7 linked regions of the Rattus norvegicus genome follow. The protein of the gene in region 1 purifies or fractionates together with the protein of each later gene. This does not show direct contact. Links are inferred from orthologs where the notes say so. Each region holds a gene or a part of one and is shown in the gene's direction. Other genes may lie near its edges.

Region 1 (3,638 bases):
TCTCTGGTGACTGACTGCCCGAGAGCGGTAAACCCTCCCGTGCGTGCCCAGTGCGTGTGGGAAACAAACTGAAACTGCCCGCAGAGGCAGACACCAATGAAGCAGACTTTTTAGTTGAACTGTTAGTTAAAGCAAACAAATGCACTATGAAATAGAATACAAAGTTACATGGGCCCCCACGCCCACCCCCTTCCTTCTTTTCTGCTTTGCAAGCAGAGTATCATGTAGCAGCAGCAAAGGCTGGTCTTGAACTTCTGATGTCTATGTCCCAAGTGCTTCCATGTCCAACTTTTTTTTTTTTGTCCCACCCCACCCCCGCCCCTCCATTTTCTTTAAGGAAGGGAATTACTATATTACTATGTAACCCTACTGGCCTGAAACTCTCTGAGATCCTCCTGCTTCTGCCTCCTGAGTGCTAGAATTGAAAGCGTGCCGCCGTACCTGGCCCTCTAACATTTCTCTTCTTTTTTTTTTTTTTTTTTTTTTTGTTCTTTTTTTCGGAGCTGGGGACCGAACCCAGGGCCTTGCGCTTCCTAGGCAAGCGCTCTACCACTGAGCTAAATCCCCAACCCCTAACATTTCTCTTCTTAAAAAATGCTATGTGTATAAGTGTTTGCCTTAGCCACATATGTGCGCCATGTGTATGCCTCAAAGGCCAGGAGAAGGTGTTAGATCCCCTGGAAGTGACATTTCGGATGATTTTGAGCCACCCTGTGGCCCCTGGGAACCAAACCCAGGTCCTCTGCAAGAGCAGCCAGTGCTCTTGACTGGTATCTAGGATATTCTGTCATTTCTGTGTAGTTCCAGAACATTTTCCTCAGTCCATAAAAAATACTGCCCACACTGTACAGTCCCTCTCTGCCTTCCTTCACCATTTCCTTATAATGACCAGTCCGCTGCATGCGTGTGTGCGTGCGTGCGTGCTTACGCGTGTGCGTGCTGGAGCGCTGACCTGTTGTAGGCATTTCACATAAAGAACATCATGTGTCTTGGCTTCAAGAACCTTGTCAAGACAGGTTCTGCCCTGTTTCCGCTGCTGTGCTGTATCCTCCAGGGTGGCTGGCCCCTAAGTTTCTAGCCAGTCTCCTGTCTTCACCTCCCATCTCACGAGTGCTGGGATTACAGTCGTGTGCTACCCCGTCCTGATTTTCACACGGGTTCTAGGGAACAAATTTGGGGTTTTTGGCTTTTGTGGCTCACATGGGTTTTTTCCCCTAGGGAACAAATCTGGTTTTTAGGCTTTCATGGCTGTACTGTCACCCCTGAGCCATCTCCCTGACACTCCTTTGTTCCTTTTTATGACTGGGTAATATCTATTATAATACTATCTGGCTGTTCCCACTGCTGAATTCACCATTGTGAACAGTGTGGCATTTGTATTCAAGATTCTGGTCTCTGGACCAGAAAGTAAAATTGCTGGGTCTTGACAGGTGGGGGTGGCAATTACCTTTAATCCCAACACTCTGGAGGCAGAGACAGGTGGATCTCTGAGTTCAAGGACAGCCTGATCTATAGAGCAAGTTCCAGGCTAGTTAGGGCTACACAGAGGGGAGAAAAAAAACCCAGTCATATGTAAGTTCTTGAGGAAGGGCAAGAGGGAAAACTGAGGCCATACAAGTAACCCAAGCGATTAGTATCGTCAGATAAACAATTGCTTCACATGATGCTGTTCAGCCAGGTTGTAAACTCTCGTGTGTAGAGGATTTGTAAAGATAGGCAGATGTCTGTGACGTCACCATTTAGAGAGATAGGAAGTCCGTAGGCACATGAGGGAGCAATCTAGAAAGGTAGAACAGAGTCCTTTAAAATGCTGGCATCTTAGGGGCTGGGGATTTAGCTCAGTGGTAGAGCGCTTTCCTAGGAAGCGCAAGGCCCTGGGTTCGGTCCCCAGCTCCGAAAAAGAACCAAAAAAAAAAAAATGCTGGCATCTTAGAGGTGTGAGGTATCAGTTAACGTGAGTGTAGCTATGCTTTTGTTTTCCTCTGTGGTTAGCCATTGCTCGAGTCACTTAGACTCATCCTTATTGTTAAGAGAAAAGTTGGGCCCGGGATATAGTTCATTTGATAGAGAACTCACCCAGGGCTGGCATGCCGGAAGCCCTGGGTTTGAACCTCACCATCAAATAAACTGGCTTTGGCAGTGTGCACCTGTGGATCCCAGCACTCAGGAGGCAGAGTCCATAGGCCCCAAAGTTCAAGGTTATCCTCAGCTTCTAAAAGAGTCTGAGGCTGGCCTCGGATATTTGAGACCCGTCTTAAAAGAAAAAGGCAGGGGGCTGGGGGAGATGGCTCATCAGGTAAAGGTGCCTGCCAACTTGAGTTCAGTCACCAGAACTCACATGGTAGGAGAGAACTGACTCCATCGTGTGGTCCTCTCACCTCCATATACGAACTGTTGCAAGCACATATACTAAATAAACAAATGGGAGTTGTTGTTGTTGTTGTTTTTTAAAGAATTAAAGACTGGAGAGATTTCTCAACTGTTAAGAGCGTTGGCTGCCCTTGCAGAGGACCCAAGTTTCGTTCCCAGCAAGCGCTCGGTGACTCAGAACCATCTGTGTAACTCCGTTTCCAGGAGATCAGACGCAGGCAACAGGCACACATGTGGTGCCCAGACATACATGCAAGCGCTACACCCGTCCACATAAAATAAAAATAAGAAACTCTTGGGAACGCTTGTTTTCCGCTCCCTCTGCTGTTAGGAGAATGCTGGTTCTCTTCAAAAGCCCAATGAAGTCTCTGCGGCCATGACTTCCCCCGCCGGAGCCAGGTGGCAGCCATGATTGCTGTAGTGCTTGGTGCCCAGCAGAGGGCGCCAGACACTGGCAGCATTATGCGCTTAGTAGCCCTCCCTCTTCCTTCTCCAGGCAGAGGGTCGGAGACCCACAGAACCCACTTGTGGCCTGGCTCCTTATAACTGTCTGGCTAGTTGATACATCGAAACTTCCCAAGCTTTGGTCCAATCGAGCTCTGGAAGCCCCTGGCCACAAAACTCCCCAGATCTGGGTATTTTTAGTACCTGGCCCATCTGCTGCAGCTTCTCATGTGTCTGAAAACAGCTTCTGTTGTCTTGCTTCTCGCTCAGATGCTTCTGACGAGCAAAACTCCCAGTCTTCGATGGAAAACTCAACGAACAGCTCAGAGAAAGCGGAACGGCAGCCATCTGCAGAGTCAGGGCTGGCGGCAGAAACATCGGCAATCTCTCAGGTACCTGCCGTCCCGCCTCAGTGGGTGGGGCTGGGGTTCTCCACGGTGCGTTGAGAGTCATGCTGCTTCCTGTTGGACTGTTAGAACGCTGTTCGTCCATTGAGCAGCAGCTCAGAGTTTAAGCCTACACCACCTGGGACCACGGTGATGGGAGGGATGTGTGGTCCTGCGTCAAGAGTCCTCTGGCGTAGAGGATGTGGAGTCTTGTCTTTCTAATCTCAGCTTGGTGATGGTGTGGCGTTTGGGTCCATCAGAACATCTCATCCCAGTGAGCCCACATCCTAAGGTTAAGGAAGACATAACCTCAGAAACCTAAAGGCCGGATTACTCTTTGGAATTTTGCATGCGATGGAGCCCCTGCTCAGACCCCTTCTGTGTTGTAACCAAGTATCAACATCGTTCTTGGATTGTTCAGTGCAAACCCAAGGTCCA
Region 2 (3,090 bases), on another chromosome or scaffold:
ATTTTAGACAGGAGCAGAAGACCAGGAAGCAGGCTCCTCCTAGTACAGATCACTGCTGAACAGGACTTAGGCTTTAAAGAACAGCTTAAAAGGAATTGGTTGTGGTTTGTTAGTTTAGTAGGCTGAGTCTCTTGGCTATTTTGTTTTGTTATAATAGCAAACAGATAGCCCTGAGATGAAAATTGTCTTAAAGACTAAATTTGGGACATTTTACTGTTATCAACTATGAGACAGCAATTGCTCATCAACATTTACCCAAGGAAGTTTACTGAGTGATTACCAGAGAGAAAAGGGCCACAACGTCTTTCTTTTTTCCTTTGTCATTTGGAATCTGAGGTAATGGCAACAAGGCTACTCCACTGCTTCCACATCATCCACTGAAATGCCTTCTCTCTGCCAACGTTAGTGCCTGGGGTAGAGCCGGCTGGTGCCCTACAGAGGCACATTAAGGAGGCCTCCAGCCTCCGCAGGGTTCAGATAACTGTTCTTCCTCAGCCCTTGTTTCCTATCCCAGTACAATAGTTCCTGCTCAGCCCGGTCCCACAGGCTCCAATGGTCAGAAGGGTGTATGGTCAGAAGACAACAGAAGTGCATTCTAACTGTGGTTCACTCACCTACAGTTTCATGTGGGCTTTAAAACAATCCACGCCGGGAATAATTAATGCACCTCTGACAGTGTACTATATGTTTAAGAAACCAGAAACAGAAGGATATAAATTCCCTAATTAGATTCCGACTAGGGTGCTTACAGCTCCTATTCACACTCGAGGACAAAGGTACAGAGGCTGGCATTATAAATGGCACCAGCTCTTGTCAGTTATCAGTCAGCAAAACCCAGAGCCTCTAATTGTGCCATTGCATTCTGAATTATAGGTGTGATGAATCAAGGAGTCACCCCCATGGTAGGGACTCCGGCACCAGGTGGAAGTCCATATGGACAACAGGTAAGCCTCCTCGTTTAATTTTCTTTCCATGGGCTCGAGATGCTTTAGGCCTCTGCTTTCTCAGAACATGTGTCGATTATCTTTTTGACAAGATCATCTAATCCCATGCTCTTTCAGGTAGGAGTTTTGGGACCTCCAGGGCAGCAGGCACCACCTCCATATCCTGGTCCTCATCCAACTGGCCCCCCTGTCATACAGCAGCCAACAACACCCATGTTTGTGGCTCCCCCACCAAAGACCCAAAGGCTTCTCCACTCAGAGGCCTACCTGAAATACATTGAAGGACTCAGTGCTGAATCCAACAGCATCAGCAAGTGGGACCAAACTCTGGCAGGTAGGAGGGTCTTGTTGAAATGCATGTTTTCTCCCAGTCCTCTCACTGCTGCAAGCTCTTTTTCTTGTAAAGGGAAATAAACTATATATTTCATAGAATAGATGTGGGCTTCTTTGCATAGTGACCCAGCAAAAATGGGTTTAAAAAAATATCAAAGCTCAGTCATATCCTATTACCACCTTCTCAGATACCTTCTGATTCCCTTTTCAGGTTGTTGGTTTGTCCCCGTCCCCCCACCCCCCAGATATTTGAACATAGAATACATGTCAAATTTTAAAACGGGAAACCTGGAAAGTTTAGTCTACCAAGCTGCTCATTTAGCTGAATAGGGAATGTGTCTAACATGGTGTTACCTAGTTTCTCACGGAAATTGGAAGCTTATTCATGTTTAAAAATAAATTTGTGAGGGGCTGGGGATTTAGCTCAGTGGTATAGCGCTTACCTAGGAAGCGCAAGGCCCTGGGTTCGGTCCCCAGCTCCGAAAAAAAAAAAAAAGAACCAAAAATAAATTTGTGGGGTTGGGGTTTTAGCTCAGTGGTAGATAGGCAAGCGCAAGACCCTGGGTTTGGTCCCCAGATCCGAAAAAAAGAAAAAGAAAAAAAAAAATGTGTGTGTTTGTGGTCAAGCACACATGTGCTTTGGTAGCACGGATGACAGAAGACAGCTTTCAGGAATCAGTTTTACCTTCTACCGCATTGGAACAGGCTGGGTCCTTTACGTATGCTGCTGCAGTGTTTACTTACTGTAGGCCAACTGCCCCTTAACTCTGGGCATTGCTCATGTCTCAGACTGCCATCTTGCCTTAGAAGTTAGGACTCCTGAGACCAGCACCACATCTGCCTCTGTGTGGAGTAAGGGATGGCTGTCGTCTGACCTGTGCAATGAGAACGTCTGTGCACTGAGCTGTCTCCCTGATCCTGGATGGAGTTTTCATTTTTGTTGTTTGGCTTACGTTGAGAACTAGCTCTTAGTCTTAGAACACTGAAGAAACTGTTAATATCAGGGTTGTCTAGAAAAGAGTGTTAGTGGTCAGATATCAATGCTTAATAAGCTTTGCTATGATTGTAATTTATATCACATTTTCATAACTTTAATAAATATTGTTTTGTTTTAGTATAAATACATCAACCCTTAAAACTGGGGTCATTTTATCATCCTAAAATTCTAATGTCTGGGGGTTGGGGATTTAGCTCAGTGGTAGAGCGCTTGCCTAGCAAGCGCAAGGCCCTGGGTTCGGTCCCCAGCTCCGAAAAAAAAGAAAAAAAAAATCCTAATGTCTGTTTATATTTCAAATTTTCAGCTCGAAGACGGGATGTCCATTTGTCAAAAGAACAGGAGAGCCGCCTACCTTCTCACTGGCTCAAAAGTAAAGGGGCACACACCACCATGGCAGATGCCCTCTGGCGCCTGCGGGATTTAATGCTTCGAGACACTCTCAACATCCGACAGGCATACAACCTAGAAAATGTTTAATGGCGTTACTGTTTCTTCTATGGAAGCAAAGAGTTGTGGAGCGGTAGCCATTTTAGTTACTGGGGTGGGAGGGAGGAACAAAGGATGATAATTTTTATTGCATTTTACTGTACATCACACAGCCATTTTTATATAAGGACACTTTTAATAAGCTATTTCAAATTTGGTTTTGTTACATTAAGTTGACTATCAAATACACAAAAGATTTTTTTTGCATATGTTTCCTTTGTTTAAAACCAGTTTCATAATTGGTTATATATAGTAATAGTTTTATCTTTACTTGTTAAAGGACTTTAATCATCAAAGGTTTTGGCTTGGCTTAGGGTTTTGGTTTTCTTT
Region 3 (4,252 bases), on another chromosome or scaffold:
TCCAAAGCAGTAGTCATTTTATCCGATCGTGCCTAATTACCTGGGGGAAGGGATGGTCTCACACATCATGTCCTGGAACTCACGGAGGTCTGCCTGCCTAGGATTCTGGAGTTCTGGGATTAAAAGTGTGAACCACCATGCCTGGCCCTTAACACTCTGGTTCCCGTGGCTGTGAGGACAGTTGGGCAAACTCCTGGTTACCACGGCCCTTCCTAGTTAACATCTCCTTCCTAAGGACCCTAGTCACAACTATGGTCTCATTAGGCTGACCCTTATGAAACTGGCCAGTTTGATTTCCACTTTCTTAAAGGTATTTATATTTTGTACATCCTCCCCCTCCCATACCCCACTTCCCCTATCCCCCCTCCCTCTCCTGTTAGTCCCTTTGCTCCCATACACAATGTCACTTTTCTTTCATGTTCTGTGTAGTACATATTTTATGAATCTATGTGAAATCTAGAAAGCACAAAGGAGAGAAAACCTATTTGTCTTTCTCAGACTGGCTTGATTTAATACGATTATCTCCAGTTGCATCCATTTTCCTGAAAACGATTTCGTTTTGGGGGCTGAAAAAATAATTCCGTCGTGTACACACATTTCACTCTTTTTGCTTTATTTTATTTTATTTTTTTCTGAGACAGTTTCTCTACCTACCCCTGGCTGTCCTGAAACTCACTGTGTAGACTTGCCTATAACTCACAGAAATCCTCCTGTCTCTGCCTCCCGAGTGCTGGGGCTAGCCACGACACCCTGCCTAGATTACATTTTCTTCAACCATTCTTCTACCTAGGCTGGGCTATAACTTAAGCTATTGTAATAGCGCTACAATAAACATTACTTAAACATTTTGGAGTCAAGGCTCTGTTCAACAGAGGGTGGACTGCTTGGACACTTTCCAGAAGCTCTGTCTTGCCTCGGGGCTGTTAAGGCCCAAGGCCGGCAGAGGCACAGAACAGGACTGGGCTTGTGGGCACCAAGCTTGCAGAGGTAAGGAAGGAAGGCAAGTGTCTCTTCCCGGTCACCTGGCACATTATATAGATCTTTGAATAGTACCAACCTCCATCCAGTACTGTTATTCTTCCCATCCCTACTGCCTCGGGAATAGCTGTGGGCCTGCAGCGGATAGCTAGCTATTCCTAGCGCACCTTCGGGTGGAGAACCTGGCCGGCCTGGGGTCGCCATGCCCACCCCGCTCCAGATGGAGCGGTTCTTCTCCCCGCTTAACATCTCATTTATTCCCTTCATCCCAGGGCGGAGTGCCATCTCAGGCTGTGCCACTAGAAAAGCCACCGCCTGAGTCAGGACCTCAGTGGCTATTTCTGTCGCTGAGAAGTTTCCCTCCATACCCGCCTGGAAGCAAAAGAAGCTCGGGTCCCTTTAAGGGCCTGCGGGAACGCGCTCGCGCAGGCGGCGGCGCGCACGTTAGCGTCAGCACCCCCACGCGCATGCGCACGGAGGGAGGCCTGCTCTTCGCAGAGACGGCTTAAGAACCTAGTAGTGACGCGAGCGCCTTCCCGGTTTGCCCGGCTCGCCCTGTCCGTCCTTCACCTCCCGGCCTCCGTTCCTTTCGGTCCGACGCGCCTCGGCCCCGCCCCAGCCCACCGGATTCTTTCCAGCTCGACCCCGGCTGCCAGTTTCCCCCGCCGCCATGATGATGATGGCGTTGAGCAAGACCTTCGGGCAGAAGCCCGTCAAGTTTCAGCTGGAGGACGACGGGGAGTTCTACATGATCGGCTCCGAGGTAGCCCGCGGCGCGTTCTCGGCTTCCCGAGCAGCGGCTGGCCGGCTCGAATCCCGGGGCGGGCCAGTGCTCCCCGAGTGCGCGCCTCCATTCATCGCGGAGGCGGGCTCGTGCTCGCAGCTGGGGCGTGGCCTGGTGGGCGTGGCCTCTAGGTTTCCTTACCCACTTAACATCCGACCCTAAGCATCTGCCCTAGCTTAGAGCTTAGAGCATCGAGCCGGTTCACTCTAGGCAAATGGAAAAAGGATGTTTGGGAAGCCCCTGGGTGCTTGGAGGTGCAGTACTGCCCTTGAGCCCTTCGGCAGCTCTCGTGCACCCCACTGCCATGGTCTTGAAACCTCTAGTTGTAAGCCTGAGGCTTAGGAAAACCTCCTCCCCTTTGTGTCCTTGTTTCTGTGGTGGAGTGCAGTAGCATAAGTTTTATGATGTGTAGAAAGTGATTGGAGGAGGATGTTTGCTTTTGAGTGGTTGAGGCCCCAAGGCCAGAAGCACTAACATTTTGGAGATCTGTGAACTGATTTTGAGTCTTTATAGGGGATAAATCTAAGGATCGCTAACCCATAACTCATAACTAGAAGAGACAGCCCCTGTTCAGTTAAGTGGACATAGTTCCTTAGGTTCGCTCTTGTGTGTTGCTACCCCTTTCATAGGGCTCCCACATCAGATATCCCGCATATAAGATAGTGACATTATGATTTGTAACTCTAGCAGAATTATAGTTATGAAGTAGCAACGGGAGAATTTTATGGTGAGGGGTCATCACAACATGAGAAACTGTATTAAAGGGTCACAGCATTAGGAAGGCTGAGAACCACTGTCTTAGAAAAACCCTACAATTAGACCTACAGACCAGCCAAATGTATGAAGTTTCTTTTCTTTCTTTTTTAAAACAGATTGTCTCAAACTAGCTTTCTTCCATCTAAGGGCAACCGCCAACCAGTTTATGTCTCCACTCCCCCCTTCTCTTTGAGACAAGATCTCATTGTGTGACCCTGGCTGGTTTGCAACTCCCCTTTGAGACCTGGCTAACCTTGAACTCACAGAAATCCACCTGCCTCTGCCTCTCAAATGCTGGGATCAAAGCACTTGGTGCCACCACATCCCGTTTATGTTTCCTTTTCTTTCTTTCTTTTTCTTTATTGTTTTTTTTTGTTTTTGTTTTTGTTTTGTTTTTGTATTTTAAGCTGTGGGTGGCCAAGCACTAGGCTGCACCTTTAACCTGAACACTCCAGAGGTAGAATAGAGGGTGAGTTTGAGTCCAGCCTGGTCTACGTAGTCTCAAAAGAAAAAAAAAAAACCATAAAATTCCAATATGTGAAATTTTTTTTCTTTTCTTTTTTTCGGAGCTGGGGGCCTTGCGCTTGCTAGACAAGCGCTCTACCACTGAGCTAAATCCCCAACCCCTCAATATGTGAATATTAACCAGTAGACATATAGCATGTGTAAGGAGGTAGGGCCCACCCTAGAGAGCTAACTAATGCCATTTCAAACTGCCAGCAGTTACCTCCTGGCAGCTGTTGAGTGTCTTATACTCCATTAGGGTGTTGGTTGAATCAGGTAGTGGGACCAGTATTGTCAGAAACATCTAGACTTAGCATTTCTGCTTTCACTTTTTTCCATTAAACAAAAAGTGCAGGCTGCCATGACTGTTCCCACCATCACCTCTGCTACTGTTCCAAGGTGGCAGTGCTGGGGACGTGCAGTCAGGGCCCGGCCATCTCCTGTGGCTCGGAAGGGTGCTGGTTGGCCAGTAGGCATTTGTGCAAATGCAAGGTCAGTACATAAGGAACAATCTATGCAGGAGAATTTGTTGAAAGACGCTTCCCTGAACTGACCAGTGAAAGAGTAAATCTGGCCTGAGCTCTAAGAGGCTGGGGGTAGTTTTGAAAAGAAAATACGTATCTGGTGGAGCAATTGAGAGACAGCTCCTGGTCATGTGGGAAGAACCTCGGGACAGCTTGCTGTGCCTCCTTACCCTCTCGCCACTCTCTTCTCCTGCCTTCCTCAGTTCTCATGCTGGGGAGCCCTGAGCCTTTGCGCACTGAACACGTGTTCTTGCACTGAGTACTCTTGACCGGTTTTATTTTTCTCATGCATCCGAGATGTTTAAACTGGAAATACATGTCTCTTGAGGTAATTGTCATCGAATGTTTTCGGTTTTAGAAGTCCAACCACAGCCTCCTTTTGGGCTCTTGACTCTTTGCCTTCCCAGTTGAATGAGAATAGTTATCCCCAAGACCAAAATGGGTGGTTTCTCACTCCTTGGAGCCTGGCTTTGATTTTGGGAAGAGCACAGGGTCATATAGTATTTTCTGTCTGCAGTATTGTCTGGATGATGGATTCAGTTTTAGACAGATGGGACAGATGCAGCACACTAGCAGTGTCTCTGACCTCTGTGGAGCTGCTTTGGGAGGACGTCTGCAGCGGATATGACTATGTCCCTGTCATCCTGTCATTTGCCACAGGAGTCACAGGACTTTGAAGAAATGAATGCCCAAGTCCAGAATCTTT
Region 4 (4,183 bases), on another chromosome or scaffold:
TCCCACCCCCAGCTAGCCCATTAACGTGACCCTTGGTTGTCTCAAAGCTCGGGGACTCCTCCTCCTGAAGGTGTGGACAGGCGTGGCTTGTGGCATGGGCGGGGCTTGGGCTCAACCTAGGGATTTCAGGATCTGCCCCCTCCTTTCTGTTCTTCCTCCCCTCCGGGATTGGCCAGTTCTCTCCACACTGTCCCATTTGGGGTTTCTTCATCTTCATACACCACACTCCTGCTTTCTTTTTGGTTCTGGGGCGGACTTCACGAACCCCAGACTCTGCGTCTCCACGCCAAGCCATCAAGCCCTGTTTGCCTCACCCTTTCCTCCTACCCACCCAAGTACCCACCCTGGATCCGCGCCATTCCTCACAATGTACTCCTCCTGTTCTCATGAGCCCAATCCATGTCCCCCTTTCGGAAATACTTCCCCTATTGCCCTCACTTTCTCACACAGAGTCAAACAAAGACTCACGAGCCCAGAAATAAACTCCCACAGAGCTGAAAGACACGGGCCGTGTCCTGCTCCGCACGCACGCGCGCAAGCTCGGCGGCTCTTGTGGAGGGAAGCACACCGACGGGGCGTTTGTCAGTGCACGCACATAAACATCCACACCCACAGCCTCTGCGCCGTGCCACAAAAGGGTGCAGACACACGGTGTGCGAGACAAGGGCACACACATCTGCGGGCGCCCAGGAGCCCGCCTAGCCCGGCACACCCACCGCGGCTGGCCCTGGGACAGGAGCAAGGCCTGCTCCGGGCTCGGGCTCCCCCCAGATTCCTTGCAGCAAATGTTTCCCTACTTGGCCTGCCTGGTCCCTGGGGAAAGGGCCTCAGAAATGCGGCAGGAGCCACTTGGGGAAAGAAAGTTGGAACTGCCTGTTCCCTGCCTGGCCCTGTCGGCGAATTCCCTAACCGAGAAACTATTTGTGGCGAGGGCAGGGTGGCTAGCGAGCCCCCTGTCACCTCCCATGGTGTCCCCTCCCCGTGCCACCACCGATGGGCCCCGGGCGGCCTGGGCGCAGCTGAGCTGCCCATCGCGCAGCCTCCGGGCAGATCGGCTCGTCTCGCCGCTTCTGTGCGCCGCTTGGACCACGCGGAGTGCACGGAAGGGCCGCTCTGTCCCCGGCGCGTCGCAGGCAGACCCCGGGCCGCCGGACTATTTCTGTCTTATCAGTGCAGGAATGCGGCAGCCGCGGCGGCGGCGGCGGCGGCGGCGGGCGGGCGGCGGCGGCGTGGGCCGTGGGCCGTCAGGGCAGCCCTGAAGGGGCCCCCTCCCCACTCCGCTCGAGTAGAAGTGTGAGAGAGCCCAGCAGGACTCAGAGGGGAGAGTTGGAGGAAAAAAAAGGCAGAAAAGGGAAAGAAAGAGGAAGAGAGAGAGAGAGTGAGAGGAGCCGCTGAGCCCACCCCGATGGCCGCGGACGAAGTTGCCGGAGGGGCGCGCAAAGCCACGAAAAGCAAACTTTTTGAGTTTCTGGTCCATGGGGTGGTGAGTGGGGGAAAGTTAGCGGGGGAGGGTGAGCGAGCTGGCTCGGGCTGAATGGAGGGATGATCGGGAGGGGCCGCCGGCGCGCTCCCGCTCTCCCACCCCTTTGGTTGGGGGGCGCACGGTCACGGCCCAACCCTGGGACCTTGCCGGCGCCCTGGCATCCGAACACGTCGCCAAGCGGTCGGCTGGGGATGGGCGCGCGGCGGCTGGGAAGAGAGGCGTCGGCTTGGGTTCTTATCAGGGGCAAGGGGTGGGATGTGGGCACCGTGTCTCCCCCAAGAGGGGGGTCCCCTCAGTAACTGACATATCTCACATTCTTTTACTGGTGGGCTCAGGTGTTACCCCTGCCCTGGGGGTGGGGGTGGGGTGGTGATTCGAACACACAGCTAGGGCTGGGCTGCCTGTTGTCCCTGTTCATCCTTTGGGACAGGGTCACTCTGATTAGGTCTGAAGAACTAAGAGCAGGTGACCCTGAAGGCACCTAAGAGCCAAAGCTCTCTGGCTGAGCAACCCCTGCATCCTAGCAGGAGGGCCTTGAGTACTTGGCCCCGATGTCAGAGCTGAGAGAGGCCTACTTGAGAGACCCCAAGTTAAGCAGTCAGAGGACCTCCTTGGCAGGCTCAGCCACCAGAAAGTTGATGACCTTAACACCTCAAAGGTGTGAGGGAGGGGCTGGAGTTGGGGACATGAGGCCTAGAGACCAAAGGGATAAGACTATACTTACTGTTCTAACACCGACACACCGACACACACACACACACACACACACATACAGACACACACACACACACACACACACACACACACACACACACACACACACGAAGAGTCTGAGGGTACTCAGGGACCTAATGAGGTAGACACTTGAATTCAGTTAGCAGACAGAGCGCCTGGCTATGAGGAGCTCCAAGCCTGGGCACATGGAGGGAAGAATCAGTCAGATTCACTATGATCAAATTTGGTTGTGACCCCTGGAAGCACCTTTTCAGTGAGAGAGGCAAGGGCCCCCAGAATCTGACCTCTATGAGGGGGTACTAATGGCAGGCCTCTGGGATCCCCTAGAAGGCTTCTCCTCAGGGCCTCTCAGTAGACCAGACAGTATCAGTGGCCTTGATGAATAGGAGAGCAGTTGATAGGGAAGAGGGCTTCTCTGTGGCAGCCTGTTCTAGCCTTAGGGATATCTGGGGTGTAATTTCCAAGACAGCCCTGTGGACTAGTGGAGTTACCAGTCCTGACCTGGCTGCTTGAGTAGTCGCTTGAAAGAGTACGACCCCATGAAGAATTAATTGAATATGGCCACCTTGGAGGTTCAGTTCTTGGATGATGATTAGGGCCCCCTCTATAGTCATGAAGGGTGGCTAGGCCTGAGCTTCTACCCTGGTGGCATTGGTGCTGTGAGTGACAGAGCCAGGTGGAGTGGGGGTGGCAGATTCAGGGACAGGCCAGTTTCACTGCAGAAGAGATGAGCAGAGACAGCTGCTGGCTATGGGTGGAGACCTTAGGGGTAAGCAGTGTAAGAGGAGAAAGGAAGCCTGGGAGTTAGGGTTAAGGCTTCTTAGTCTGGGGGCAAGATGAGGGCGTGCGTGCCTGCCTGCGTGCCTGCGTGCTCGAGGGCGCATGCGCATGGTCTTCAGTAGCCCAAGCTGGCCTCAAATTCACTATATATCAGTACTTGACTTCCTGCCTCCACCTCAATATTGGGATTACAAGTGTGTGCTATCATGTGCAGTTTATTTGATACTGGGGATCGAACCCAGGTCTCCACATGTGTTGCACAAGCCCTGTACCAAGCTACATCCCTAGCCTGAGATGGGGGTGTTTAAATAGGGTTTTCATACCTCTCTCCCTAATACCCTTCCTGTTCTTCTGAACTCGTCCCACCTCCTGACTAGTCCCAAAACCTCAGCCCCCTTCCTGGGCTTGGACAAGTGAAATCTGTAACACTTCACTCACATTGGCATCTCCTCTGTTTTGATTGACTGAGTAGAGGTGGTGGCCGGGGAAAATCAATCTGCCTCATTTCCCTCCAATTTCTACCCTTCCTGGGATTGGGTGGGGAATGGGTTGACTCTTATGTGATCAGATGGGAGAGGGAATGAATGCTGCTACAGATGCTGCTTCCTTCAACCGTCCCTGCACTGGCAGCCCACTTCTAGTCCAGTTCCCCACTTGCCACTAGGCAGAGTCTGATGACACCAGACCCTCAGGTGCCCTTGCCTCTTGTATCACCTTGGGAGAAATGACATTAAAGAGGCAGGCTAAGTCGGTGGGTGTGGAGACCTGGAGTTAGCTGAACCAGTTATGTTTGAGATTGAGGTGCCAAAGCCGGGGGCTCTGAAAGGGAGATGGGGGCTCAAGTACAAAGCACATCAGCCCCAGAAGTGGGGTGTGGAAATTGGGAAATGAGAAATGAGGACAGGAAATCAGCCCCTCACCGCAGCGAAGCAGCGGGGAGCAGGGCCGGTCAGGTGCTGCCTTTGCCGGGAAGAGCAGGGTGACCTTGGCGAGGTCGCTTTTTTCTTTGAGCCCCAGTTGCCCCATCTGTCAAGTGGGGATGAAAAGACCTGCTCTGACTGGCTCGCAGAGAGCCGTACGGATATGAACATCCTTTGAAAGGTTGAAAGGCGCCATTAATATTCATTTTTGGGGTACCTTGCACGGCTCCGAGACTCGGCTATGCTCTGGGCAATTGCCTGGCTT
Region 5 (4,405 bases), on another chromosome or scaffold:
CTCTGCCTTGTGTAGGTGACAGCTCTATCTTTCATGTGGACACACTATATTTCATGTGAGGAGAAAATGCTGGGTTTATTGTCAGGAGCTAGAAGTCCTGGCCATGAAAGGGAACTCAAATTCTGAAATCCAAGAGCTAGATCATCTTTTCTGATCTGGTCCTGTACATTCTTGGAAGAGTTGTGGGGAGTGTTGTGGATGGGGGCTGGGGAGCATAGGGGTGCTTCTCTGTCCCTTGCCTTTGTCTATTGGACCTGTTGTCTTCCTGGTGCTCCTTTCAAAGGGTGGGGTCCGGCCTTTCAAAAGGCGAAGTCTAAGAACTAGGATCAATATAAATCCAAGCACACTGGCTTTCATTTCCCAGGGATTCCCAATCCTGTGTCCTGCAGGTGATTATGTTTTCTGACACTGTCATATGGTTTGGGGGACCTTCTCTATGTTCTTGCCTGATTGGGTCCTGTTCAGCCAGAGTGCTGCTCTGACTTTTCTCGTGGCCACTACACCTAGGTTTCGGGAGTGGCAAATGTAGAACAAAGGAGCCAAGGGCGCCTTGGGGACCCAGAGGTGTGCGGAGTGAAGATGGCGGGGTGGGGAAAAGGCACTACAGGAGAGGGGATCTCAAGGAGAGAGGAGGCGGAGCTCCTGGGGTGGTTGACCCTCAGGGCTGAGGAGAGAGGAGGAAGTAGACTGAGGACTCAAATCCTTCAGTTACAGAAGGGAGCGCAGACACTGGTGGAGAAGGGGAAGGTGGCCGCGGGTGTGGGGACCCCAGGCTGAGGGGAGGGGCTGGGACCGGTGGTGGGAGGATACCACGTAGCGGGGACCCTTGATTCGGGGTGGGGGCGGGAAGAGACAGCGTGGTGGAGACCCCTGGCTGAGGGGAGGAGCTGGGCACCGGTGTGTGTGTGTGTGTGTAGGGGTGGGGGTTGGAGGACACGCGTGGTAGGGACCCATCTTTCACGGGAGGAGCTGGCGACCCAGGTGGGGACTAGGCAGCCGCCGCCGACTGAGGACCCCCGGCTGACGCGCGGCGGAGGAGGGGAGGGGGCGGGACCGCGGCGGGGCGGGGCGGCGCGGAGCCGCGGCTGACGCGAAGGGCCGGGCTGGGGGCGCAGGGAAGGGGCGGCGGCGAGCTCGCCAGGCGGCCAGGAACCCGGGTCGGGCCGGGGCCCGGGCCAAGGCGGCAGCTGGCCAGCGGAGCTCAGGCCGGGCGCGGCGGGCCGGGTGAAGGCGGCAAGGCGGCGGGCCCCGGCCCAGGCCCGTAGAGCCGCGCAGCTGCAGCCGGCTGACGTGAGCGGCGTGCGGGTCCCGGCCGGCGGCGCGCTGGCGGCCATGGCGGTGGCGCTGGCGGGCCGCGGGGCGCGCGGCGGCAGGGGCCGGCCCCCGGGCGGGCGGGCGGAGGGGGCGGGGCCGGGGCGCCGGGCGGCCCGCGCGACAGCGGCGGCAGCGGCGGCGGCGGCGGCTGGGACTAGGCGACGGCGGCGACGACGACGGAGGCGCGGGGCGCTGGGGCTGATGGCAGCGGCCGGGCCCGGGGCGGCGCTGTCCCCGCGGCGGTGCGACAGCGACCCGGCCTCCCCCGGAGCGCAGTCCCCGAAGGTGAGCGGAGCGCGCTGCCCAACGGCTGCAGCGGCCCGGGCCGGGTTCGGGAGCGCAGTGGGGACAGGACGGCGGGTCCCCAAGCAACAAGTGCGGCGAACGGTGGGCGCGGACCTCAGGGAGACCTGCGCGGCGGGTGGGAAGTTGTCGGGGAGTAGTAGGGACCGGAAGACTCGCGAAGAGTGGTTGAGACGGAGCGCCCGCAGCCTGGGGAAGTCAGAAAAGTTGCGGCCTTTTGGGATCTCAAGTCCAGGAGACGCTGAGCGGGGCGTGCGCTCGTGGTCCCGAGTTGGCAGAACGTGGGTTCACACCCACAGACTCGGCCAGCCGAAGTGACCCGTCCACGTGCCCGTCCCTCCCCGCGGGGCCTCTGTCTGCTCCCCTGTGAACCTCACTGTGGCCGGGCCCGAGTCAGAGCAGCGCCCGGGGGCTGCTGGCTCCTGGCCCCGACTGAGGACCTTGCAGAGAAGAGGGCCTTACCTGGAACGTAGCCCTTAGAATTCATACGGTTGTGAGCTGTTAAACTCTGTGTCAACTTCCATTATTGTTTCTTTTCGAATGGATCATTGTTTTTAACTAAAAGCGTTTTTAAACAGAAATCTTTAAAATATTCACAAATTAGTAAAATAGCGCTTAAAATGCTTCAGAGCTTAAAATGAACCTTGTCAAGCAAGTATGGAATATGAGTACTGTGAAAAATTAAATATTAAATATTATCTTTCAACTTGTTTTTTAGTTTTAAAAAGGAATATTAAGTTTGTTTACTTGACTTCATTTTTGATGAGTGAAAAGGAGAATGGTTTCTTTTTTTTTAATTTGAAAAATAATTTTAGTAAATTCCTAGGTGCTAGAGACATAGTGAAATGTAAAATCACTGCTAACCTCAACGTTAACATATATCAGTTATGCACTAGCCCTTGCTCTTCATGTGCTCATGTATCACTTCACTGAATCCTTGCATCAGCCACCTAGGCTTTCAGACAGGGAGAAGCTGGCAGGTTACCACACAGCTGGTGGACAGCTGCTCCATACGACTCCAGGCAGCCCACAGTGGCATGCTGACCTGACGTGCTGGCCTGTGCTTCCTTTTTATTTTCTTTCGCGGGTCCTTATTGAAATATATAGTAAGATTAGTAGTGTTAAGAGCTATAGTACCTTGATTTAAAGAACTATGAGCTGAAGCCATGAGCAATATGTAAATGAATTATTTTAAAAACATTTGACTACTTCTTTCCTTAATGGAATGGCTCAACAACTTATATCTTCTATGAGCTTATCACAATGTGCTGAATTTCTGCTATAGAAGAAAAAGAATGTAGTTAGACTTGGTAACCTGTGTCCAGTCCTTCATCTGCAAAGTAGCTAATTAGAATGTGATCTGGTAGGCCAGTTGTAAATGGAAGTGTGCTACAAAATTTGTTAGTATTTATTTCCCAGCTCAAATAGGAAGGCTTACTTTGATTTTAAAGTGGTTTTGCTATTAAAAAGCAGAAGACATTTGAACACAACCTAGTTGGTAAGAAAATGAAAGCAGAGTACATTTAAAATATAGTTGAAAATCAATTTTGTTTAGATTGAAGGTCAGTTTTTAGATTTATTCCATTTCTTATAACAAATTCTCTGTCCTTTTAATTATTCTAAAATTAAGTTTTCTAAGGACACTAGGTAGAAATGTGCTTTCTCTTGTTGATATTTAGGCAGACTGGAATGATACAGAATCACTCTTTGTTTTTAATTCATTTTAACATTTTCCATTTTTTTAATGTACAGGATGATAATGAAGATAACTCAAATGATGGGGGTCATCCATCTAAAAGAAGACGAATGGGTTCAGGGGATAGTTCAAGAAGTTGCGAGACTTCAAGTCAAGATCTTAGGTACTGCTGCTTTAAGGCTCAGTAGTGACTTCTGTAAACTGTTTGCTCACTTCTTCTTTCCTATCCCAGGCAGCATGAAAAGTTATTAAAAATTATATGTATGGGCTGGAGAGATGGCTCAGAAGTTAAGAATGCTTGTCTAACTGGAGATTGGTTACCAGCACCCACCTCCCCCAGTCTCCTGTAAGCTCCAGAGGCGCTGATGTTCCATTCTGTCCTCCACAGATGTTTGTACACATATACACAAAGCAAGCAAACAAACAAATCTTTAAAAAAGAGTCATATAATATAATATCGAAGTTGGTCTTGCTCCTGAGAACTATTAAAAAAAACAAACGATAAAATAGGTACATAAAATACAGCCATCGTAACACTTTTTATATATAAGAAGTATAGTTCAGTGGCATTAATTACATTTACAATATTGTGCAACCATCACTCTCACCCCTTTTCAAAACTTCAGTAGTGAAACTGCAGAACCCCCCAGTACCTCCTGTTCCTTCCTGCCCCCTGCTGCTGGTTGGTTACCAACTAAGTTCTCCTTCCTGCCCCTGACTGTGAACCATACAGTGCCTATCCCTAACCATATTATCTTCAAGGTTCATCTGTGTTGGAGGTCCTGAAGTCTGAACGATATTCCACTGTATGTGCTGCTACATTTTGCTTATTCCTGTGTATGCCTGCAGGCTGGGGTAATTAATGCTGAAGTGAACACTGGCGTTCAGAACCCTTGCTCTTAGTACCCTGGTATATAGCTAGAAGTGGAAAGCTGTACCATATGGTAATTCTGTGTTCAGCTTTTATAAGGACCTTCCATACATTTCCAGTGGTACCACCATTCTGCATTCCCACCAGTAATACACCTTGCAACATTGTTTTTGGTTTTTGCTTATTTTGATGATAGGCAAATGGAAAAACATAACTTAATC
Region 6 (4,105 bases), on another chromosome or scaffold:
AGCCTCGGCTGTCCTGGAACAGCTCTGTAAACCAGGCTGGCCTCGAACTCACAGAGATCCTCCTACCTCCCAAACGCTAGGATTAAAGGTATGAGCTGCCAGCACCCTGCACTCTGGGTGTTAACCTTTAGATCGGAGCTTGCCTTGAGGGCCACACAACTAAAGAAATTTGGGTGGTAGTCTGGTGTGGTGGTTCCACCTCTAATTCCAGCGCATAGGAGATGGAGCAGCTGTTTTCCATCACACAGTGAGTTTAACGCTAGACCAGGCTATTCGAGACCCTACATACTTGATCAGGTAAAAACACTGATCCACCTGGAAAAGAACAAATTCAGGAATCCTCTGTTCCCTAGGCAGTGGACCAGCAAAGTAATCTAAAGCAACAGATATCCGGGTCTCTTTGGAGAAGATTCAAGGTAAAAGAATTCATTAAAATCTGAAGTTAAAGGTCTGAGGTGAAGGGCTAAGTTCCCGTGCCGGGGAGCTGTTAAGCCATTATTTATTTATTTATTTATTTATTTATTTATTTTTTTTTTTTTTTTTTGGAGCTGGGGACCGAACCCAGGGCCTTGCGCTTCCTAGGCAAGCGCTCTACCACTGAGCTAAATCCCCAACCCCTTAAGCCATTATTTATAAGATGAGGCCCTGGCTACCAGCCAGGAGACCCGAATCCAGGATGGCTTTTCTCTTATCTCGATTTGTCTTTGCCACGACATTCACCTCCTTTGAGTTCAGCTTTTCCGTTTGTAAAACGAACAAACAGCCTGTTTCCCTCTTTAGCATCCGGAGTCTGATCCGTAGGAAAACAAAAAGCAAACCAACCAGAATGCTTTGGAGAGGTAAACGCACTGGGCCGAGGTGAAGCATCACTCCAGCCGCCTGCGGGGTGGGCTGGGCTCTTTGCAAGGCCTTGACGTCCTCCAACCGCCCGGGGGCGCTCGCTCCCGGCACTTCTTTATCAGCACACCGCCTCTCTATGGTGCTCCCTCCTGGCCCGTGAAGGCGGGAGGGAGTGGTCAGCACGCCTTTCCCGCTAGTCGCCCCCTCTAGCCCGTAGTCTCGCTGCCCCGAGCCGCCCGTGCCCGCCGGCGGGCCGGGCCCACAAACAGCCCAGGCGCTCGGGGGGCGCGCGGGGGGCGGGGGGAGTTCCGGTTCCGGTTCTTTGTGCAGCTGCAGCGGCGGCTCCGGGAAGATGGCGGCCCGGGCGGGTTTCCAGTCCGTGGCTCCGAGCGGCGGCGCGGGAGCCTCAGGAGGAGCGGGCGTGGCGGCTGCTCTGGGCCCGGGCGGAACTCCCGGGCCTCCCGTGCGAATGGGCCCGGCGCCGGGTCAAGGGCTGTACCGCTCTCCGATGCCCGGGGCGGCCTATCCGGTGAGTGGGACAGGAGGAGGGGCGCGCGGGCCGGGGGCGGGGCCGAGCGAGGGCGGAGGACTGACAGGGGTGAGGGAGAAGTGGGAGGGACTCCCTAGGGAGGGGCTCGGGCCGGGAGTGGAGGTGGGGGAAACTGAGCGGAGGAAGAGTGGGGGGAAGGAGGTTAGCATCCTTACCTGCTCCCAGCGGCATTGTTTCCGTGTGAGGAGCGAGTGTGGAACCAGGGTGGGTGAAGTGGGCCCTGGGATGGGCATGGGATGCAGAGGGGAATGGGCAGCCCCAGTGTCTCCAGGAACACCCAAGCTATTGCAGCAAATTGAGGTCAGCCTTAGAGGAGACAGCAGCTAGTTTAAAAAAAGAAAAAAGTAGGACTAGAAATGTCTGATGAGTCAGATCCAGCATAGATCAGAAAATTCAAGTATAATCTAGTTTTTAGACTATATTCCATTAAATCACTAGTAGGCCTGAAGAAGCTCCAGTTACCATATTTCAAAGAAGCAAAGGATTGTCTTGTCCTCCACTCTACCCACCCCCCAGCCCTACCCCATCCCTGAAATCCAGCCTTCCACCACTTTTCCTTCCTTGGTGGGGCTAGCATGGAAAAATATGACATCTCTTGGTCCTCTCCCTTCTGTAGAGACCAGGTATGCTGCCAGGCAGCCGAATGACACCTCAGGGACCTTCCATGGGACCTCCTGGCTATGGGGGGAACCCTTCAGTCCGACCTGGCCTGGCCCAGTCAGGGATGGACCAATCCCGCAAGAGACCTGCACCTCAACAGATCCAGCAGGTCCAGCAGCAGGCGGTCCAAAATCGAAATCACAAGTAAGATGCCCCCTGGGGTGAAGGAAAGACGGGGATGGGAGGAGGCCTGTGAGGATGCTGATGCTGGGAGTCCCCAGGAAGTCAGGCGCTGCAGTATCAAATGGTGCTGCAGGGACTCACCCTTTTGAAGGCTCTCTGGCCTCGTGATGAAGTGGAGTTTTTGTGGTACTGGGAGATGGAGAGTCATCCCGTAGGCCGTAGTAGCTGTACCATAAATGGAGGTGCTCACAGCGATGCTCATGTTTTGACTAGTTCCTATCCCAACCTGATAACAGTATTTATTCTGAACAGTGCAAAGAAAAAGAAGATGGCTGACAAAATCCTACCTCAGAGGGTGAGTGCAGCAGCTGTAGAGGCCTTCCTGAAGGGGTAGTGGCTTTGAGAATAGAGGTGGTCAGCTCTAGGGCCTGACCCTATCTTTCTGTTCCTAAGATTCGGGAATTGGTACCGGAATCACAGGCCTACATGGATCTCCTGGCTTTTGAAAGGAAACTGGACCAGACTATTATGAGGAAACGCCTGGATATCCAGGAGGCCTTGAAGCGGCCCATCAAGGTACCAGGAGAGTACCAGAGGGTCACAGGAGGGAGCCAGGACGCTCCACCAAGCTTAGGAAGAAAACCCAAAGGCACAGCACATCTCTCTTTGGCATTTAAACTGCATCTTTCCCTTCTGCCTGCAAACCAGGAATTACATCAGGAGCATAGGAGTGGGGCGGCTGGCAAGGAGAGGGGGGGCTTCCCACTCTCTTCAGCAGAAACACACCCTGTCCTTGTTTTTGCTCCTCGCTACCTTGGGAACCTGCCACTTTGCACGACTTTGTCTCCCTGGCACCCTGGCACATTTACTCAGGCCCAAGTCAGGGCCTGTTTGCTCCTCAGTGGAGTCCTTATCCATCTACAAAGCCAGCCTGGTAGGAGTGACCTGGGAGCTTTAGGGAACCTTGTGCTCTTGAAGCCCCACGGTCAATCCTGTTTCTGCCTTCCTCAGCAAAAACGGAAGCTGCGGATTTTCATTTCTAACACATTCAATCCGGCTAAGTCGGATGCCGAGGACGGGGAAGGGACTGTGGCTTCCTGGGAGCTCCGGGTAGAAGGACGGCTCCTGGAGGATGTGAGTTCAGGGTCCATGGTGGTTGGTGCTCAGGGTGGGAGCTGTTGGGAAGGAGCAGTGCTGTGTGGTCAGCAGGAAACCTGACTGGTGTTCACCACTCCTGCTGGGAGCTTCCGGAAGGGGGTTGGGGGTGCTGTGTTCCCTGCCTACAAAGACAATGGTCCTTTGTGCCTACTCTCACAGCTTCTCTGGTATCAAGTGGAAACCTTTGTTGCTCTGGGGTCTGGGTTGTTGTTTACTTTGCCTGGTGATGCTGCCCTTCGGATTTCAGTGCTCACTTATCCCCACCACCATCTGTGCTTAGTGTTTGAGCCCATGTTTCCTCCCTTAGGTCCTTGAGGTTATTTCTGTCTTCCCAGGTTTCATTGGAGGCACCACAGTTTAAGTACGATAGCCCCCCCAAAGGCTTGGCTCTTTGTTGCTCATCAGACTAATGAGCACCCCAGACTCTCCACCCAGCAGCTCATTGGGGAGGCTCGCCGTTCCCTCAGAGCTCTGCACTCTGACACTTTTAAACTGTGTGCAAGTGAGCTCGTCTGATGCACTTTTGCTGGGGAACCGAGCTGCCTCTGGGTAGGTCCAGGCTATTTGCTGGTCATGTGTTCTGTCCAGAGAAAGGCAGGTTTTGTTCCCCTGCCTCTGGCCTGGGATTCATTTGCCCTCTGCTGTCAGGCTTTCCTCTGCTCAGATGTGCTTTGTTGTGCTAGCGGTTTGGCTTAACTTGAAGTCAGAGATCCTGTCCTTGTTACTGTGCTCCTGGGACCAGGACTGACTCAGTGGCCACCTGGCCATAACCAG
Region 7 (3,321 bases), on another chromosome or scaffold:
CCTGGGCTGCCTTGCGGGGGGATTTCCTGGAGGGCTCAGCAGTGCTATAGGCTTTATGAACCTTGGTGGAGAGCTTTTGGGGGACCAGAGCGCCTCAGATATATCTGCAGTAACTCTAGGGAACCCTCAAGTCTGGGTGATGATGGGGTCTTAGAGCTTCGGCCACCTGAGGCTTTTCTTTTGTCCCCTCCCCCCTTCTATAATCTCTGGCTCTGGCTTATTAGAGCAGAGAAACAGGCTGTCTTCTGCCTTTCAACAGCTTTGATGAATTTCTTCCTGATGAGGAGAGACTTGTGGCAGGACTCCCAAGGTCCCAGGGTCTCCCACTTTTAACTCCTCAATTGCCACTGTATCCTTGCTCTGCTCCTATCCCCTTTCCCTTGTCTCTGGGTCGTGTTTCTTCCCCTCCCTCTGCTACTGGTCATGAGTCTGACTCCTTAGTGCCAGATAAAGAAGTCGCAGAGACTCATCTTCAGGATGCTTGGGTGTGGGGGTTAGGGGGTGGGCCTTTAACTTGGTATGAATCTCCACCCAGGCTGGCCTGGTTGTCTGGTTGTACTGATTGATTGCATAACCTGGGCCCCGGGGGCCAGGCCTGTGAAGCTGCCAGGGACAGTGTGTGCAAGGCAGAGCTGCCAAACAGGCCTTTCAGGCAGCAGCTATGTGCATGGAGCTGGGAGGTGGAGGGCTCCCAGAAAGGTTGGAAAACTGGGCCTTGGATGGGAAGTCAAGAAGCTACTCGTGTCACCCAGATTGTTGCTGTGACTCTGTGTCCTTCCATCCCAGACAGTCTTAGTCTGCAGTTTGGGCTGGCTAGGGTTAAGTCGGACCAGCAGCAGCCTGGCTGCCAGGTGGTGCCGAGACCATGGGCAGAGGCCAGATGTTTGCTGTTCTCATTCCCATAGGCCACCCAAGAACCATAATTTCCCTTTTTGAGGGTCTTTTGACATAGAGATAGGGGCATGGCAATGGGGGGGGGGGGGCAACAACGGGTTCAGGTTTTGTAGGGGCCATATGGTGACCAGATGGTGTCTATACTCTCCTGAGGCCATCCCCACAAGTTGTGACATAGCAAAGCCATACATTATACTGCTCACCTGAGGTGCTGCTGCCTAATGGTTTGCCATCCCTACTGCCTTTCTTCCCGTCATGCCACCAGGCACAGGCTGTTTACATCCTCCCGGACTCCCCTGGTTGCTGTTGCTATGCATTGCCTCTGGTCTCCCGAGTAATGTTTTTCCTTCAGGATGGGGAAAGGAAGAAGGGGTGTCTAGGGGCTATCTAGGGACTCTATAAATACCTTGAAGCTGGCCGATCCCAGGGTGCAGGACATAGCATATTGGAGCTGGAAAGGTGTTGATAAGTCCTAAAAAATTCCCCAGGTCCTGCCTTCTGCAAGAGGCACTCTCCTCCCGCCCATGGACTCCGGCTGCCTCATTTGTTGGCACGGCTGCCAGGGCGGTTGCAGGGGCGGGGCAGGTGTGGTTTACACGCTGGGCTCAGGCGCCTGTTCCCCTTTGTTCCTGGTCTCCCCGTGTGAGAGGGAGATGGAGGGTATGGGCTATGGACCTCGTAGGGCTCTCCCACTGACCTGTGCCCCTCCACTGTTCCACTTTCCCCAGCGACCTGGCATGTCCCCAGGAAGTAGGATGCCCATGGCTGGCTTGCAGGTGGGACCTCCGGCTGGTTCCCCATTTGGCACAGCTGCTCCACTTCGACCTGGCATGCCACCTACCATGATGGATCCATTCCGAAAACGCCTGCTTGTGCCTCAGGCCCAGCCCCCGATGCCTGCCCAGCGCCGAGGGTAAGACCTTGCCTGTCTCGTCTCTGGTGGTAACCTTGACCACAAGGAGACTCTTGGCAATTTGGGAGAGGGTTTTGAAGATAGTGAGTTTGGACTGTTAAATTCTTAAATGGGTTTCTGTTTTCCTACTAGGTTAAAGAGGAGGAAGATGGCAGATAAGGTTCTACCTCAGCGAGTAAGTGTGTTACGGAGGCCTGCCCAGGTCTGGCTGGCCAGGGTGGGGGTCCTGGAGTGAGCAAGGAGGGAGAGTGTTAGAAGTAGAGCTGGTGAAGCAAGCCATTGGATTTCTCAACCTGCAGATCCGGGAGCTTGTCCCAGAGTCTCAGGCATACATGGATCTTTTAGCTTTCGAGAGGAAGCTGGACCAGACCATCGCTCGCAAGCGGATGGAGATCCAAGAGGCCATCAAGAAGCCTCTGACGGTATATACTACCCCAAGTTCTCCCAAACTATTTTTCCTCCCTGGCCTTGTTTTCCAGGGAAGAGCTTGGGCTTGAGCAGTACTTCTCACACAGGGAGCCATCCATCCACTAGAGCGCACTCAGTTTCGCATGCGTTGAGGTGGTGTCTTGCTACAAATGGCTACTCACTCAGTCCTGCCTCTTCTTCCTCTTTAGCAAAAGCGAAAACTTCGGATCTATATTTCCAATACATTCAGTCCCAGCAAGGCAGATGGTGATAATTCAGGAACTGCAGGGACCCCTGGGGGAACCCCAGCAGCAGACAAGGTGGCCTCCTGGGAGCTTCGAGTAGAGGGAAAACTTCTGGATGATGTGAGTTGGGAAAAGAGGTATTGGGAGGGAGAAGGCGTGTGTGAACTTAGACCATGGACAGACATGAGCGTCTTTATGAAGTCCGAGCCTAGGGAAAGGGTAGATCTACCCAGTTAGAGGTTAGACTTGCTGGTGGGGTTGTTGTTTCTGTGCTGGGGATCAAAGCCTGGACCTCACACATAATATACTGGTCCAGAGTGAACATCTGTAGTTACTGCACTACAACTTTCCTGTAGATGGCAGTCAAGGGTCTTGGATTCACTCCCTGATTGGCTGGCAGTGGGGTTCATGAAGAGCCCTTTTCCTGCCACTTTGCCCACACATTGATGCCGACTCGTTTCTTCTGATGAATAAATTCAGCAGCACACTCGTCTTACATAGCTCTTTCCTCTCAGCCTAGCAAACAGAAGAGGAAGTTCTCCTCATTCTTTAAGAGCCTTGTTATCGAGTTGGACAAGGAGCTGTATGGGCCTGACAACCATCTGGTGGAGGTAAGAGTGGTTCTAGAGTCTGGGAGGGACAAGCTGTCAGGGGGTACAGCGCATGACATCAGTGTGCTGCTGGCAGAGTGCTGTAGCCCATCTGCTAGCGATGAACTCTGCGTTCTCTTGCCTGACAGTGGCATCGGATGCCCACCACTCAGGAAACAGATGGCTTTCAGGTGAAACGGCCAGGAGATCTCAATGTCAAGTGCACCCTTCTGCTCATGCTGGATCATCAGGTGACAGTTGCTCAGGGTCA

The links.
Region 2: the proteins of Bcl7a (region 1) and Pbrm1 purify together in Homo sapiens (affinity purification with mass spectrometry; 3 studies listed by BioGRID and IntAct, counting the BioPlex papers as one, with this or other methods). This does not show direct contact. The link is inferred for Rattus norvegicus from reciprocal best matches to the Homo sapiens genes BCL7A and PBRM1.
Region 3: the proteins of Bcl7a (region 1) and Smarcb1 purify together in Homo sapiens (affinity purification with mass spectrometry; 7 studies listed by BioGRID and IntAct, counting the BioPlex papers as one, with this or other methods). This does not show direct contact. The link is inferred for Rattus norvegicus from reciprocal best matches to the Homo sapiens genes BCL7A and SMARCB1.
Region 4: the proteins of Bcl7a (region 1) and Smarcd3 purify together in Homo sapiens (affinity purification with mass spectrometry; 4 studies listed by BioGRID and IntAct, counting the BioPlex papers as one, with this or other methods). This does not show direct contact. The link is inferred for Rattus norvegicus from reciprocal best matches to the Homo sapiens genes BCL7A and SMARCD3.
Region 5: the proteins of Bcl7a (region 1) and Phf10 purify together in Homo sapiens (affinity purification with mass spectrometry; 3 studies listed by BioGRID and IntAct, counting the BioPlex papers as one, with this or other methods). This does not show direct contact. The link is inferred for Rattus norvegicus from reciprocal best matches to the Homo sapiens genes BCL7A and PHF10.
Region 6: the proteins of Bcl7a (region 1) and Smarcd1 purify together in Homo sapiens (affinity purification with mass spectrometry; 5 studies listed by BioGRID and IntAct, counting the BioPlex papers as one, with this or other methods). This does not show direct contact. The link is inferred for Rattus norvegicus from reciprocal best matches to the Homo sapiens genes BCL7A and SMARCD1.
Region 7: the proteins of Bcl7a (region 1) and Smarcd2 purify together in Homo sapiens (affinity purification with mass spectrometry; 5 studies listed by BioGRID and IntAct, counting the BioPlex papers as one, with this or other methods). This does not show direct contact. The link is inferred for Rattus norvegicus from reciprocal best matches to the Homo sapiens genes BCL7A and SMARCD2.

The regions. Positions count from the first base shown.
Region 1 is NC_086030.1:38,877,145-38,880,782, reverse strand, and holds part of Bcl7a (B-cell CLL/lymphoma 7 protein family member A), read left to right. Parts: intron 1-3,084; coding exon 3,085-3,206; intron 3,207-3,638.
Region 2 is NC_086034.1:6,313,851-6,316,940, forward strand, and holds part of Pbrm1 (polybromo 1), read left to right. Parts: intron 1-873; coding exon 874-944; intron 945-1,061; coding exon 1,062-1,278; intron 1,279-2,578; coding exon 2,579-2,751; 3' UTR 2,752-3,090. UniProt on the Homo sapiens protein: Involved in transcriptional activation and repression of select genes by chromatin remodeling (alteration of DNA-nucleosome topology). Required for the stability of the SWI/SNF chromatin remodeling complex SWI/SNF-B (PBAF).
Region 3 is NC_086038.1:12,739,496-12,743,747, forward strand, and holds the start of Smarcb1 (SWI/SNF-related matrix-associated actin-dependent regulator of chromatin subfamily B member 1), read left to right. Parts: upstream 1-1,452; 5' UTR 1,453-1,648; coding exon 1,649-1,741; intron 1,742-4,252.
Region 4 is NC_086022.1:11,462,002-11,466,184, forward strand, and holds the start of Smarcd3 (SWI/SNF-related matrix-associated actin-dependent regulator of chromatin subfamily D member 3), read left to right. Parts: upstream 1-1,274; 5' UTR 1,275-1,405; coding exon 1,406-1,483; intron 1,484-4,183. UniProt on the Homo sapiens protein: Involved in transcriptional activation and repression of select genes by chromatin remodeling (alteration of DNA-nucleosome topology).
Region 5 is NC_086019.1:64,638,778-64,643,182, reverse strand, and holds the start of Phf10 (PHD finger protein 10), read left to right. Parts: upstream 1-1,515; coding exon 1,516-1,599; intron 1,600-3,369; coding exon 3,370-3,476; intron 3,477-4,405. UniProt on the Homo sapiens protein: Involved in transcription activity regulation by chromatin remodeling. Belongs to the neural progenitors-specific chromatin remodeling complex (npBAF complex) and is required for the proliferation of neural progenitors.
Region 6 is NC_086025.1:132,707,440-132,711,544, forward strand, and holds the start of Smarcd1 (SWI/SNF-related matrix-associated actin-dependent regulator of chromatin subfamily D member 1), read left to right. Parts: upstream 1-1,187; 5' UTR 1,188-1,192; coding exon 1,193-1,369; intron 1,370-1,419; exon of another isoform or gene 1,420-1,594; intron 1,595-2,006; coding exon 2,007-2,194; intron 2,195-2,485; coding exon 2,486-2,528; intron 2,529-2,626; coding exon 2,627-2,749; intron 2,750-3,184; coding exon 3,185-3,307; intron 3,308-4,105. UniProt on the Homo sapiens protein: Involved in transcriptional activation and repression of select genes by chromatin remodeling (alteration of DNA-nucleosome topology).
Region 7 is NC_086028.1:91,696,097-91,699,417, reverse strand, and holds part of Smarcd2 (SWI/SNF-related matrix-associated actin-dependent regulator of chromatin subfamily D member 2), read left to right. Parts: intron 1-1,622; coding exon 1,623-1,807; intron 1,808-1,939; coding exon 1,940-1,982; intron 1,983-2,106; coding exon 2,107-2,229; intron 2,230-2,424; coding exon 2,425-2,580; intron 2,581-2,975; coding exon 2,976-3,071; intron 3,072-3,199; coding exon 3,200-3,301; intron 3,302-3,321. UniProt on the Homo sapiens protein: Involved in transcriptional activation and repression of select genes by chromatin remodeling (alteration of DNA-nucleosome topology).